Canis lupus familiaris: one gene and its partners. The protein of the gene in region 2 purifies or fractionates together with the protein of the main gene of each other region. This does not show direct contact. Links are inferred from orthologs where the notes say so. Each region holds a gene or a part of one and is shown on either strand. Other genes may lie near its edges.

Region 1 (3,595 bases), on a different chromosome or scaffold from region 2:
CTCCCTCCGCGAGAACGGGCGAAGGGGGCGGTGCCGCGCTGCAGGTAAACAGAAGGGCCGTGCCACCGAGAAGGGCGTGCGCGCCCTAGAGAGGCTGCGCTGTGGGCCCCGCTGGGCCCCGCGACCGGGCGGAGGGGGCTCTCGGACTTCTGTTACACACGTGCCCGGAAAGGGGTTTGTGGGGCAACGAGAGACCTTGTGGCCGTCAGCGAATACGTGTCTAATCTGGAGGATGTCGATGCTGACACGGGGGTGTCACGGGGGAAATCAGCCACATAATGAAATAGCGCCAACTGTATACCCGTTGTTTCAAGATGAAATGCTGAGGATGTACGTCATTGGGCTCTCCCTTAGTAAGTCATAGTCCGCTGCCCAAGGGAGCTCCTGCAGAGCAGAGGGTGGTTGCCAACTGCATACTCGAAGCTCTATACTGCAACTCCTCCTGAATACAGGTGTGCCTCAGCCCTTTCACCCAGGGGGTTTGGGAGTGCAGATGCAGCTGGATAAAGTGGAAACCAGTAGTAATCTCTGTTGGTTCTTCAAAATTTTATTAACAAAACCAGGGAGAGGTGAGGCAACAGTGAGCAAACTCCACAGTCCCACCCAGGCACAGAGAATGGAGAGACAGAGGGACAGACAAGGACAGAAGAAAATCCTGAGACCCTCTGATAACGGCATCTGGGTAGTCAAATGGTGGATGGGCACAGGGAGAAACTCAGGGACCATTGGAGAAACAGATGAATGGCAGAACAGACAAACGGGGAATTCGGGGCAGCTCCCGGGCCTGGAATGCAGGGCGTGAGGACTTCTGGGCCAGTGAGGCTCAGCGGTCAGCACTGGAGCGCAGGTCGGTAGTGAGCGGGTCATGCTGGATCGTTTGGTGCAGCATCAGGGCCAGTAATCCTGCCCGGTTAGTCATGGCTGTGCGAACGTTGCGTTCCTGCTCAAACAGCTCATCCAGCTTGTACCACTGAGAGGGGAGTAGAAAAGAGCCATGAGAAGGAGCTCCGGAAGCTCCACCTGAACTCCAGCCTCATTTAGCATGGACACCTACCACGCGCACACGCTCCAGGTCCACTTCAGCACGCCGCAACTTCTCCCAGCAGTAATGGCGGTTACACTGGCGTTTGGGCAGGCGGCAGAAGTCACCCGTGAGCTCAAAGACATCACGTACAAGAGGGCACCCACATACCTCATCAGCTGGCACCTGCAAGGAAATCGGGGGTCAGGGATGAATGGGGGTGGAGGAAGGTAGGAAGGAATGAAGAGAGTTCAGGGAGTACAGAGGAATGGAAAAGGAGAAACGAGATGATGAGAGGAAAAAGGAGAGGAACGAGGAGTGATAAGGCAAGCAAAGTGAGAGTTACGGAAGGGGTCAAGTAGGGAAAAGGAAGGAAGGAGGAGAGGGGAGGACACAAGGGAGGAGGAAGGGAGGCAGGGAGGAGGAAGAAAGGACAGAATGGGAGGAACTGAGAGCAAACCTTACTTTGGGGTCCCGGGAGTGCTCGGGGCACAGCACCTGGAGCCGTTTACAGTATGTCTTGCTCTGAGGGTTGTAGACATCACAGAAGAGTCGTGTAGCTCTGGAGGTTTAGAAGATAGAAGGTAGTGGGGAGAAAGGCGGGGGACCCATCTGTTCTTGCCCAGGCCCATTCTGCCCCAACATGCCACTTCTGACCCCAGCCTTAACCTCCCTGCTCTAACTCCACGTAGCGCCCACACTCACCCCTCAATGCGTGTGGGGTACATGGACCCAAAGGACGTCTGGCTCTCATACTAGAGGGATGAGCACAAACGGAGGGCACTGTGGATGTGTGCTGCATGCCCTCCCGAGACAACCCCCAGATAACCCATCTGTTCCCCCACGACCCAATGACAGTCCCCCTCAGGGTGACACCCTGACCTTGGCATAGCAGCGCTCCATGTGGCGCAAGGCAACACGTGGGTTGATAGGGTGCCCGCAGGAGACGCAGAAGATCTGCAGGTCCGTGTCATCACTGTCACCCTCATTGCTCTGTGTGGAGTGGAAGGAACAATGAAGCCAGGCAGGACCGGGTACTGGGTCCAGGGCCGCTGGGCCTGTGCTCACTCACCTCCTCATCCTCACGGACAGCCTGCTGCTTGGCACGAAGAATGATGGCCTCAAGTTCATGGAATCGGCGCTCCATCTCCTGAAGGCGGGTACGGGCACTCTGCTGCTCACGGCGAATACGTTCGAGCAGCTTCTTCCCGTGCTCCTCAGCAATGCAGGGACTCTGCTGCCACTGCTGGATGCGCTGGGGGAGGATCTCGTAGATGCGGCTGCAGGGAGGCAGGGGGTTAGGTGCAGGCAGGGAAAGTGGCAAGGAACAAGACAAGTGGGGTGATCCAAGAACGGCAGAAGAGATGGGTGACCAAACGGCCAAAGAATAAGTAAGTGACTGGATGGTAGACAAGCAGATGAGGGACAGATAGACGGGTGCACCACGGACTGAGCAGCAGGCAGGTAGCTGATGAGAAGACACACAGAAGGCTCTAGCCATGCCCTGCCCTGTACTCCCTGACTCCCTTGTGCTCTCCAGGAATGACTTACTTGGCTGCCAGCTTCATGCCACAGTCATCTGAGCAATACTTGGAGCCGGGCTGGGCAGGGCGCACACAGCCAGGTCCCAGGCACTGCGGTAGTGATGCAGGATCCTTAGCGTCGGCGCGCTCTGGGTGTTTCCATTTGTCCTTGTGCTTCTGTTTCTGCCGATGCCGCTTATATCTCTCTTCCTTCTAAGGGACGAAGCAGTCAGGTCAGGTTAGGGTGGAGTTAAAGTCAGCCCCAGTTCCCTGTGTCCCGCTGCCCCCACCACCACTTCTGGCTCTTGCCCCACCCAGCTCCTGATCTTTGCCTCTCCCTACCTTCCCTGCCCTCTGCCTTCTCACACCCATTTCACCCTCTCCATCACCTTCTTCTCGGATTTCTTCTCCCGACGCTTTACGTGCTTCACTTTCACTGCTCTCTTCCGTAGGGCAGGGTCCAGGAATGGAGACTCCTCTGTGTCGCTCATCCAGGGCTGCAAGTGAGGCACATGCTGACCCACCTGCCCGCCCATGACCACCCCACCCACTCAGTTCCCAGATCAGCCTTCCATACTCCGCCTTATCTTCCAGCTCTCCTCACCACGGAAACTCCGCTTCTGTGACCTCCACCCTTCCACCATGGAACGCTCTGGCTGCTCACCAGGCCATGGTCATCAAAGGCCCCTGCACAGAAGTCCTGGTACAGGTCAGGATCCAGTGGTAGGTCCTCATCTGAGAGTGGCTCAGGTGTAGCCGTAGCCTCCGGTGGCTCCTTGACTGCTGATGATGCCACTGCCCCCTCGTCCTCACGGATGCGCCCCAGCTTCTGTGATGGCTGTGGCTGCTGCTGGGTGGGCAGTGGCCTGCGAGGCCGTGGCAGGGACTCTGAGGGCGTCACTGGCGAGAGCTGCAGGGCAGAATCTCAGGACTGGCCCTGACCGCCCTGCCCGCATGCCCCGCCCCGCCCTGGGGGGCTGGACTCACCGAGGAAGGGAAGTACTTGTACGATTCCTGTGCCGGCAGGAGGAAGGCCCAGGTCAGCCCCAGG
Region 2 (3,657 bases):
GTCCCACCTGGGTTTCAGAACAACTGGAAACCAAGTGGTCTAGCTGAGTTCCTGCCAGAAAATTCCATATTCCAGTACCAATCTTTAGTTCCAACTTTATTAAGAGGCAGCAATGCCTCACAACCCAACTATTTAGTCCCTGTGAGGTCATGCCCACAGCGGGCGTGACTAGACTGAATACACTGGTTTCCCATGGAGAACACATTTTCAGGTGTGCATTTTGGTAAACCAATCTACAACTCACAATGCAGACTGTTGTTGGTCAAGGACTTTAGAGCTTTGGAACCTACTCTGGCTTCTTCCCTTGACTAACTTTAGGGAAAATCACTTTAGCTTTCCCGGTTTTGGTTAAATTCATCTTGTTCCTTGTCTCCGAGGTCCTTTCCAGATCCAACATTCAATTCTACTGAGACACCATCACTGACTCATATTTGAAAGTGAAAATGGAACAGCATTTCTAACACCAAGTATTTGGAGAGAGGAAGTAGTTTTCACAGAGAGAAAACTTAAAATACAGAAAAAAAATTCTTACCACTCAAGTTTTGGAAACATTTTATAATTTATATATAAAATCTTGTAAGAAACCATGTAAAATGACAGAAATATCCACCTTACATTAAGAGTCAAAAAAAAATTCACACACACTGAATGTAAATTTTAATTATAAAACAATATGAACAAAACATTTTAAAATAATCTCAATTATTTGGCAACTCATCACATCATTGCTAGAGACAAATTTGATCTTAAGAAAAATTTAATCTTATGAAAAACTTAAGTTGGACAGTTTGTTCGTATGGGAGTTAAAATATGTTTAAAAAAGAAATCCGGCAATAAAGCCAGTTTCTATCATGAAATAATTGTGTATAAAACAACATAAAGTCTTGAAGCTCAGTAGACAGGAGTGACCTAATCTCAATGCATTTCTCTTCACTGAAAAGGACAACATGGAAAGAGAACGAGTAGAGGCCTCGGAACAGCACAGAGGGAGGGATGAACACCGACAGAGGCGTTTTTGCTGCAGGTGACAGGATGTAACTTTACCTGAACCAGAACCTCTCACGCCAGTGGGGCTGGAAGTAAAGTCACAGATGCGAGCATAATCTAAAATCAAGTTACATTCTTAAAAAAGTCACAACTGTGAACAGGGAAGCAATGCAGACCCTTTCTTGAGCTAAACTACTTCACTTGGATACATGCGAGAAGATCCTGTATTTCCTGCCAGACCATAGAGAGTTACAAGGCAGGCAGCATCCTAAAACGTTTCTACTAATGACTGCATAGCATTTAAAACCCTTTTTTTATTAAAAAAAAAATAATAAAATAAAATAAACAGATATATAGTAAAGTTCACAGATAAGTTTTCTCTGTAAAATAAATAAAGTGTTCATTGATTAGCATCATACATAGAGTAAAATACAACCTATTTTTACATGTTTATATACTGTACACAGATTACCAGTAGGCAGCCTGGTGTCTGATAGGCTGGAAGGGTTTGCATTAGTGATGTGTCACATCGGGAAATCCCAATTTCAGATGTTAAAATATACAACTACTTTGTTTTGAGTTCAGATACAAAGTAAACTTATTTTCCTTTATCTGAAATAAATGTACATAATATCTTCTATGAACAATAGTTTATAAAGCTGTTTAAAACAGAACAAGAAAAAGCTTGCACCTAGGAACTTACAGCACATGCATGTCCTTTCCCTGGTTAAAAAAAAAAAAGCTTCTGGCCCCAGGCTTATTCTCTCCTCTCGCCTGTGTCTCCAACACGCCAGGGGCATGGTGGTGGTGGTGGCCAGGATTACCGCTTGGCCTTCTTCGAAGGGGCTTCTTCCACCCTCTGCTGGCCTCTAGTCCGGGCTCCGGGGGGGCTGGCTTCCCTCTTGCGCTTGCTGGAAGGGGAGAGCTGGGCCTTCGATCTGCAGTAAACAAAAGTCAAGGCAGTGGTGAGAGCTGACAGGAGTGGCTTCCATAATTTGGGAGTTCTTTAAAAAAGGGAAGAATTTTGAACTTGAGAGCTGAGAGAAAACCCAGGTCATGTTTATATAGGAAGAGGAGACTCTAGAAGAGCAGTGCTAACTGGTTATGTGCAACCAGCCCCACATCCACAGGGCACAACAGGAAGAGCTTGGAGACCCGCACTCTGGTTCTGGCCCGGTCACACTCCCAGGGCCAGCCTGGCTCAAATCTGCCTTCTTCTCTGGGTCCTAGTTCTTCGAGCTAGAAAACAGTTAACAGGGCAGCCCAGATGGCTCAGCGGTTTAGTGCTGCCTTCAGCTCAGGGTGTGATCGTGGAGACCAGGGATCGAGTCCCACGTCGGGCTCCCTGCATGGAGCCTGCTTCTCCCTCTGTGTCTCTGCCTCTCTCTCTCTTTGTGTGTCTCTAATGAATAAATAAAATCTTTATCAAAAACAAAACAAAACAAAACAAAACAATTAACAGCCAGTCCTTCACGCACTGCCCCAAGTCGAGGCTACTGAGAAGGAGCACAGCAGGATGGGGGACTCCATCTGGGCGGGTGCCCAATCCCATCTCATTGGCCAATACAACTGAGGAGAGGCAGCAGTGTTAAAAAGGCAGGGGAACTTCAGAGGAGCATTCTGGCCAATCACCCTGCCCCTAGCCCATCCCCGTTCTCCCATCTGCCAGCAGAATTATCTGTCAGAAATCCCAATGAATCATGTCACTGTCCTGTTTATCTGTTACACATATATTCCTCGTAACTCTCTGATGCTTTCAGGATAAAGTCATCCCAAGATTTCACAAAGTCCTTTATAATTTGCCCTGACTTCTGCACCACGCTGGATTGGTCCTGCCAATCCCGAACACATGACATTCTTTCACATTTTTATGCTTTGACATGGGAGTTTTTGGAGAATCACCCCACACCTCCCACCTAGCAAACACCCTTGTCTTTAAGCTCCAGTTCAAAAGCAACTCCTCCTTATGGGAAACCTTCCTCATCATGGAGCAAGCCACTCTCTGGAAATCCCATGGCACTTTGTGTCTCCACCACAGCACTTACCACTGTGATTTACCTGTTGATTTTTTCCAACTGTAGGCTACAGTCATTATTTTAAAACAATTCTCAAAGAGACCACAATAGTAAATACCATTGGTATGACTTCTATTAAATTTGGTTTATGAGAATTATGTTGCAGTGACAGCGGCAGCATGTGAGCACTGGATGTACTCCAAGATATAGTTTTAGCCAGGTGGTGCCAAAAAAGCTTCCAAGTCATGTACACATGTCTCCCCTGCTAGAATGCTTCTCCTCTTCCTCTCCCTAGTACCTAGCACCAAGGCACACGTCGCCAAGCTGCCATGGTTCTATCTATGAAGGAAAAGACCTGGAAAATCAAAATTGCAGGAGATGGTCCGATGGGGCTGCATGGATAAGATGTTTTGCTTGTCTTGCTTATTGTTCCTTTGAGAGCACAAGTAAATAAACCCAAACCAGGTCACACACTCTTGTACAGGACACAGTTCCAGCATATACACCTGTGCGGAGAATGGCCAAAAAGCAGTGCTTGTTGATCTCCCATTTTAGGCCGAGTCAGGGAAAGCCACTGGCCGCTGGGTGAGAACCTACCAACTGAGCAGTTGGCATGCCAGCCCTGTGCTAGATGCCACGTAGCAGGGACAGCGGC
Region 3 (3,382 bases), on a different chromosome or scaffold from region 2:
GAGTTAGGTTGAGGGAGGCGCCCAGCAGCACAGCCTGCATTCTGCCCTCTAGTTCCGGAAGAAGAAACTCCGCTTTGGTCGCAGCCGGATCCACGAGTGGGGTCTGTTTGCCATGGAGCCCATTGCAGCTGACGAGATGGTCATCGAATACGTGGGTCAGAACATCCGCCAGGTAAGGCCCTGTACCTGGCTCCCAGTAAGATGGCAGCATAGCAGCTGGCATGAGAAACACCTCATCTCTGGATAAAGGTCCACATAACCTCGCAGTTCCAAGACATAGTTGGTGAAACCTGCCTGTGTTTCCTTCGACAGTTAGTGATGGGTCCTTGTAAACTAGGTGGTGACAATCCAGCAAGGAGGAAGGGCCAATATTCTCTCTGGCTATGAGGGTCTCATAGTTCAGTGGGGGAAGAGCCACTGCATAAAGAACTGCACCAAAGGATGATGTCTGGTTGATGGGGAAGAGGAAGCTTGGGGAGGCACAGGTGGTGGGGCACAATGACGTGTAAGCCGGGAGCTGAAGGATGATGACTCCCCAACTCAGAGGAGGGGAAGGGTGCTCCCAGCCACTGGACAGCATGTGCAGAGGTCTGGAGGCAGGATAGTCTCAGTAGGGCAAGGAAGTCAGGATGGCAAGATGGAAAAACCAGGACTGGTGGCCACCAAGAGAGGCAGGTGGAGGCCACACTTCGTGGACCTTAGGTGCTTAGAAGCTGTGTTGTTGAGCTGGGGCCAGTGATAAGGGGAGGGAAGCCATGGCCAAGTGCCCAGCAGTGACAGGCTTTGCAGTCAGTAGGCTCCCTCTGGCTGCAGTGTGAAGGGACAGCCAGAGGCGGGGACAAGTGGGGGTGCGGTCACAGAGATCCCAGCAGAGGCCCAGGGGACCCAGACTAGGCAGTGGCAGCCAAGGTAACAGGAGTCTGTGGGTCCAAGGCAGCTGGCAGCACTGAGCAGCAAGTTGGCTCTAGAGAGTAGGGGAGGGAAAGAGGGGAGGCCATTTCTTGGGCTGCTGGTGAGGGGGGTGAGGAGGAGAAGCAGCTGTGTGGTGGAGAGGAGTTCCAGTCAGGGCCTGTAAAGCTGCAGGGCCCCAGGGACATCTAGAAATTGACGCCTAGCAGCTCCATTGAGGTGGATTTTGGCTGGAGATGGAAGTTTGGGAGGAGGCCCCACCACTTATCTGGCAGTTGAAGCCCTGGAAGAGAATGAGATCACCCCAAGGAGAGAGCACAGAGGGTTTATCATGCCATGTTCTGGGAAATAGGAATCACTCCTCCTCACACAAGAATGTGGACCTTGAGGGCATCAAGTGGCAGCCTGGGGGTGCCTGTCTTGGACAGAGGGTCCTGGGAGAAGAGACGAATAGGGTTCGGGCCCCAAAATGACCATGTCACATCAGGAACCAGCATGGCTTCACAGGAGGCTGGGGGCTCCACCATGGGCCAGGCAGAGGCTCCAGGAGGAGCCAGTGGCTGCTGCTCAAGCCCACTGAGCCCGGCACATTTTCCTGAGATCCCCTTTGGGAGACTTAAAGTGGCAGCCAAAGGTGTCGGTGTGGGGGGAACCTTGAGGAGGGGGCCCTTGGAAGCAGGTGGTTGACTCCTTGGGTGGGTGGGAGCCAGAGGAGGAGCTGCTCACCAAGACAGGTCAATGTGCCACCCACCCCAGGGTGGTAGCTGGAAGGCCAAGCGGGTCCCCTTCACTGGGGCTGGTGGGGTCAGGCCCAGTCTGGCAGGAAGCTGACTGGGACGGCACCCCGTCCTACCAGATGGTGGCTGACATGCGGGAGAAGCGCTACGTGCAGGAGGGTATTGGCAGCAGCTACCTGTTCCGGGTAGACCATGACACCATCATCGACGCTACCAAGTGCGGCAACCTGGCGCGGTTCATCAACCACTGCTGCACGGTGCGCAGGGGGGTGGGGGAACGGGGTGGGAGGTGCTCAGGGTGGGGCGGAGACTCCAGGACCAAGGGCGTAAGCTCACATGGCCCTCCCCTCCTACAGCCCAACTGCTATGCCAAGGTGATCACCATCGAGTCCCAGAAGAAGATCGTGATTTACTCCAAGCAGCCGATTGGTGTGGACGAGGAGATCACGTACGACTACAAGTTCCCTCTGGAGGACAACAAGATCCCGTGTCTGTGCGGCACCGAGAGCTGCCGGGGCTCCCTCAACTGAGGTGGGGCGGGACCGGCGCCCGCGCCTCTATTTATTTCCCTGGGGTCTGGGGAGCCCTAAGCCCAGTGAGGGAGCCTCAGTCCCCGGAGGTAACTCCTGCCTCCCCTGTCGCCCCTGCCCACCCACCTCCTAACTTTTTTTTCTTTGCGGAGAAGAAGCTGTAAATGTTTTGTAGCTGCCAGCAGCTGTTTCCTGTGGAAACCTGGGGTGCCGGCCTGTACAGATCCTGTTCTTGGGGGGCTGCATAGCCCCCTTGCTTTGTGTTAATGGGGACTTCCCCTTTGTGCCCTGCGTGCACCCCTCCCCAGTTCAGGGGTCTCTAGGGGCAGCGGCCATGTTCTCCCCCTGGGGGGGGTGCCCTGTGCCCCCAGTCCTAGGGACTCCGTGCCTGGAACCCTGCCTCATCTTCTGTTCCTGCCAGACCCTGTGGGTCACCCTCCCACCCTGGTTCCTGGAAGCTTCTGCTCTGCCAGACCAGGATGATGGGGGGTGGGCCCTTCCTATTGGGCTGGATTGTACATATGTTAATAGCGCAAACCCAACGCCACATTTTTATAATTGTGATTAAACTTTATTGTACAAAAGTGCTTGGTCAGTATCTTTGGGGAAGAGTAGGTGGGTGGCGGGGGGTTGGGGGTTCAGGACAGAGGATTGGTTGCAAGTGAAGAGAAGGGGAAATGGGTGGCCTGCAGGTTGGGTGGGTAGACCTGCAGACTCAACCACCATTGCTCTGGGTCACCTATTAGTCTGGAATAGTCATCCAGAAATCCCCCACCAAGGTCAGCCAGAGCTGGGCCAAGGTCAGCCTCCCTTCCCTTCCCAGAACCACAGCCGCTGCTGGGCTTCTGGTATCTTGGGAAATCCAGCAAAGGGGAAGGATTGACGTCATGAGGTGGGAGTGAGGTCATCCCACCTGTCCCATCCTCTGCCCACCCAGCGTGTTCTGGCTTCCCCGGGCCGTATTCCCCAAGTTCTTTGCCGGAAGCAGACGCCCGCGGAGCGCAGAGTGGCCGCCAGGGGGCGCCCTATGGCAAGAGCTCAGGGGACGGAGGGGTGGAGGCTGGGCTGGTGTCTGTTCCTGGAATGGGCCAGGAGGGAGGAGGAGCAAGCGGAAGGGGACGGTGTGTTGGCCGACCGCTGGGGCTCCGAAAGAAGACGGCCCCTCCGGTGGGCAGTTTGAGTATCTCGGGACCGTGGCTGCAGGTA

What was found.
Region 1: the proteins of BOD1L1 (region 2) and CXXC1 purify together in Homo sapiens (affinity purification with mass spectrometry; 5 studies listed by BioGRID and IntAct, counting the BioPlex papers as one, with this or other methods). This does not show direct contact. The link is inferred for Canis lupus familiaris from reciprocal best matches to the Homo sapiens genes BOD1L1 and CXXC1.
Region 3: the proteins of BOD1L1 (region 2) and SETD1A purify together in Homo sapiens (affinity purification with mass spectrometry; 3 studies listed by BioGRID and IntAct, with this or other methods). This does not show direct contact. The link is inferred for Canis lupus familiaris from reciprocal best matches to the Homo sapiens genes BOD1L1 and SETD1A.

The regions. Positions count from the first base shown.
Region 1 is NC_049228.1:78,687,157-78,690,751, reverse strand, and holds the end of CXXC1 (CXXC-type zinc finger protein 1), read right to left. Parts: intron 3,559-3,595; coding exon 3,532-3,558; intron 3,455-3,531; coding exon 3,209-3,454; intron 3,042-3,208; coding exon 2,934-3,041; intron 2,758-2,933; coding exon 2,573-2,757; intron 2,302-2,572; coding exon 2,094-2,301; intron 2,015-2,093; coding exon 1,904-2,014; intron 1,777-1,903; coding exon 1,727-1,776; intron 1,584-1,726; coding exon 1,487-1,583; intron 1,208-1,486; coding exon 1,055-1,207; intron 971-1,054; coding exon 824-970; 3' UTR 528-823; downstream 1-527. UniProt on the Homo sapiens protein: Transcriptional activator that exhibits a unique DNA binding specificity for CpG unmethylated motifs with a preference for CpGG.
Region 2 is NC_049224.1:67,061,978-67,065,634, reverse strand, and holds the end of BOD1L1 (biorientation of chromosomes in cell division protein 1-like 1), read right to left. Parts: intron 1,926-3,657; coding exon 1,808-1,925; 3' UTR 641-1,807; downstream 1-640. UniProt on the Homo sapiens protein: Component of the fork protection machinery required to protect stalled/damaged replication forks from uncontrolled DNA2-dependent resection.
Region 3 is NC_049227.1:17,386,114-17,389,495, reverse strand, and holds the end of SETD1A (histone-lysine N-methyltransferase SETD1A), read left to right. Parts: intron 1-52; coding exon 53-172; intron 173-1,765; coding exon 1,766-1,903; intron 1,904-2,002; coding exon 2,003-2,176; 3' UTR 2,177-2,760; downstream 2,761-3,382. UniProt on the Homo sapiens protein: Histone methyltransferase that catalyzes methyl group transfer from S-adenosyl-L-methionine to the epsilon-amino group of 'Lys-4' of histone H3 (H3K4) via a non-processive mechanism.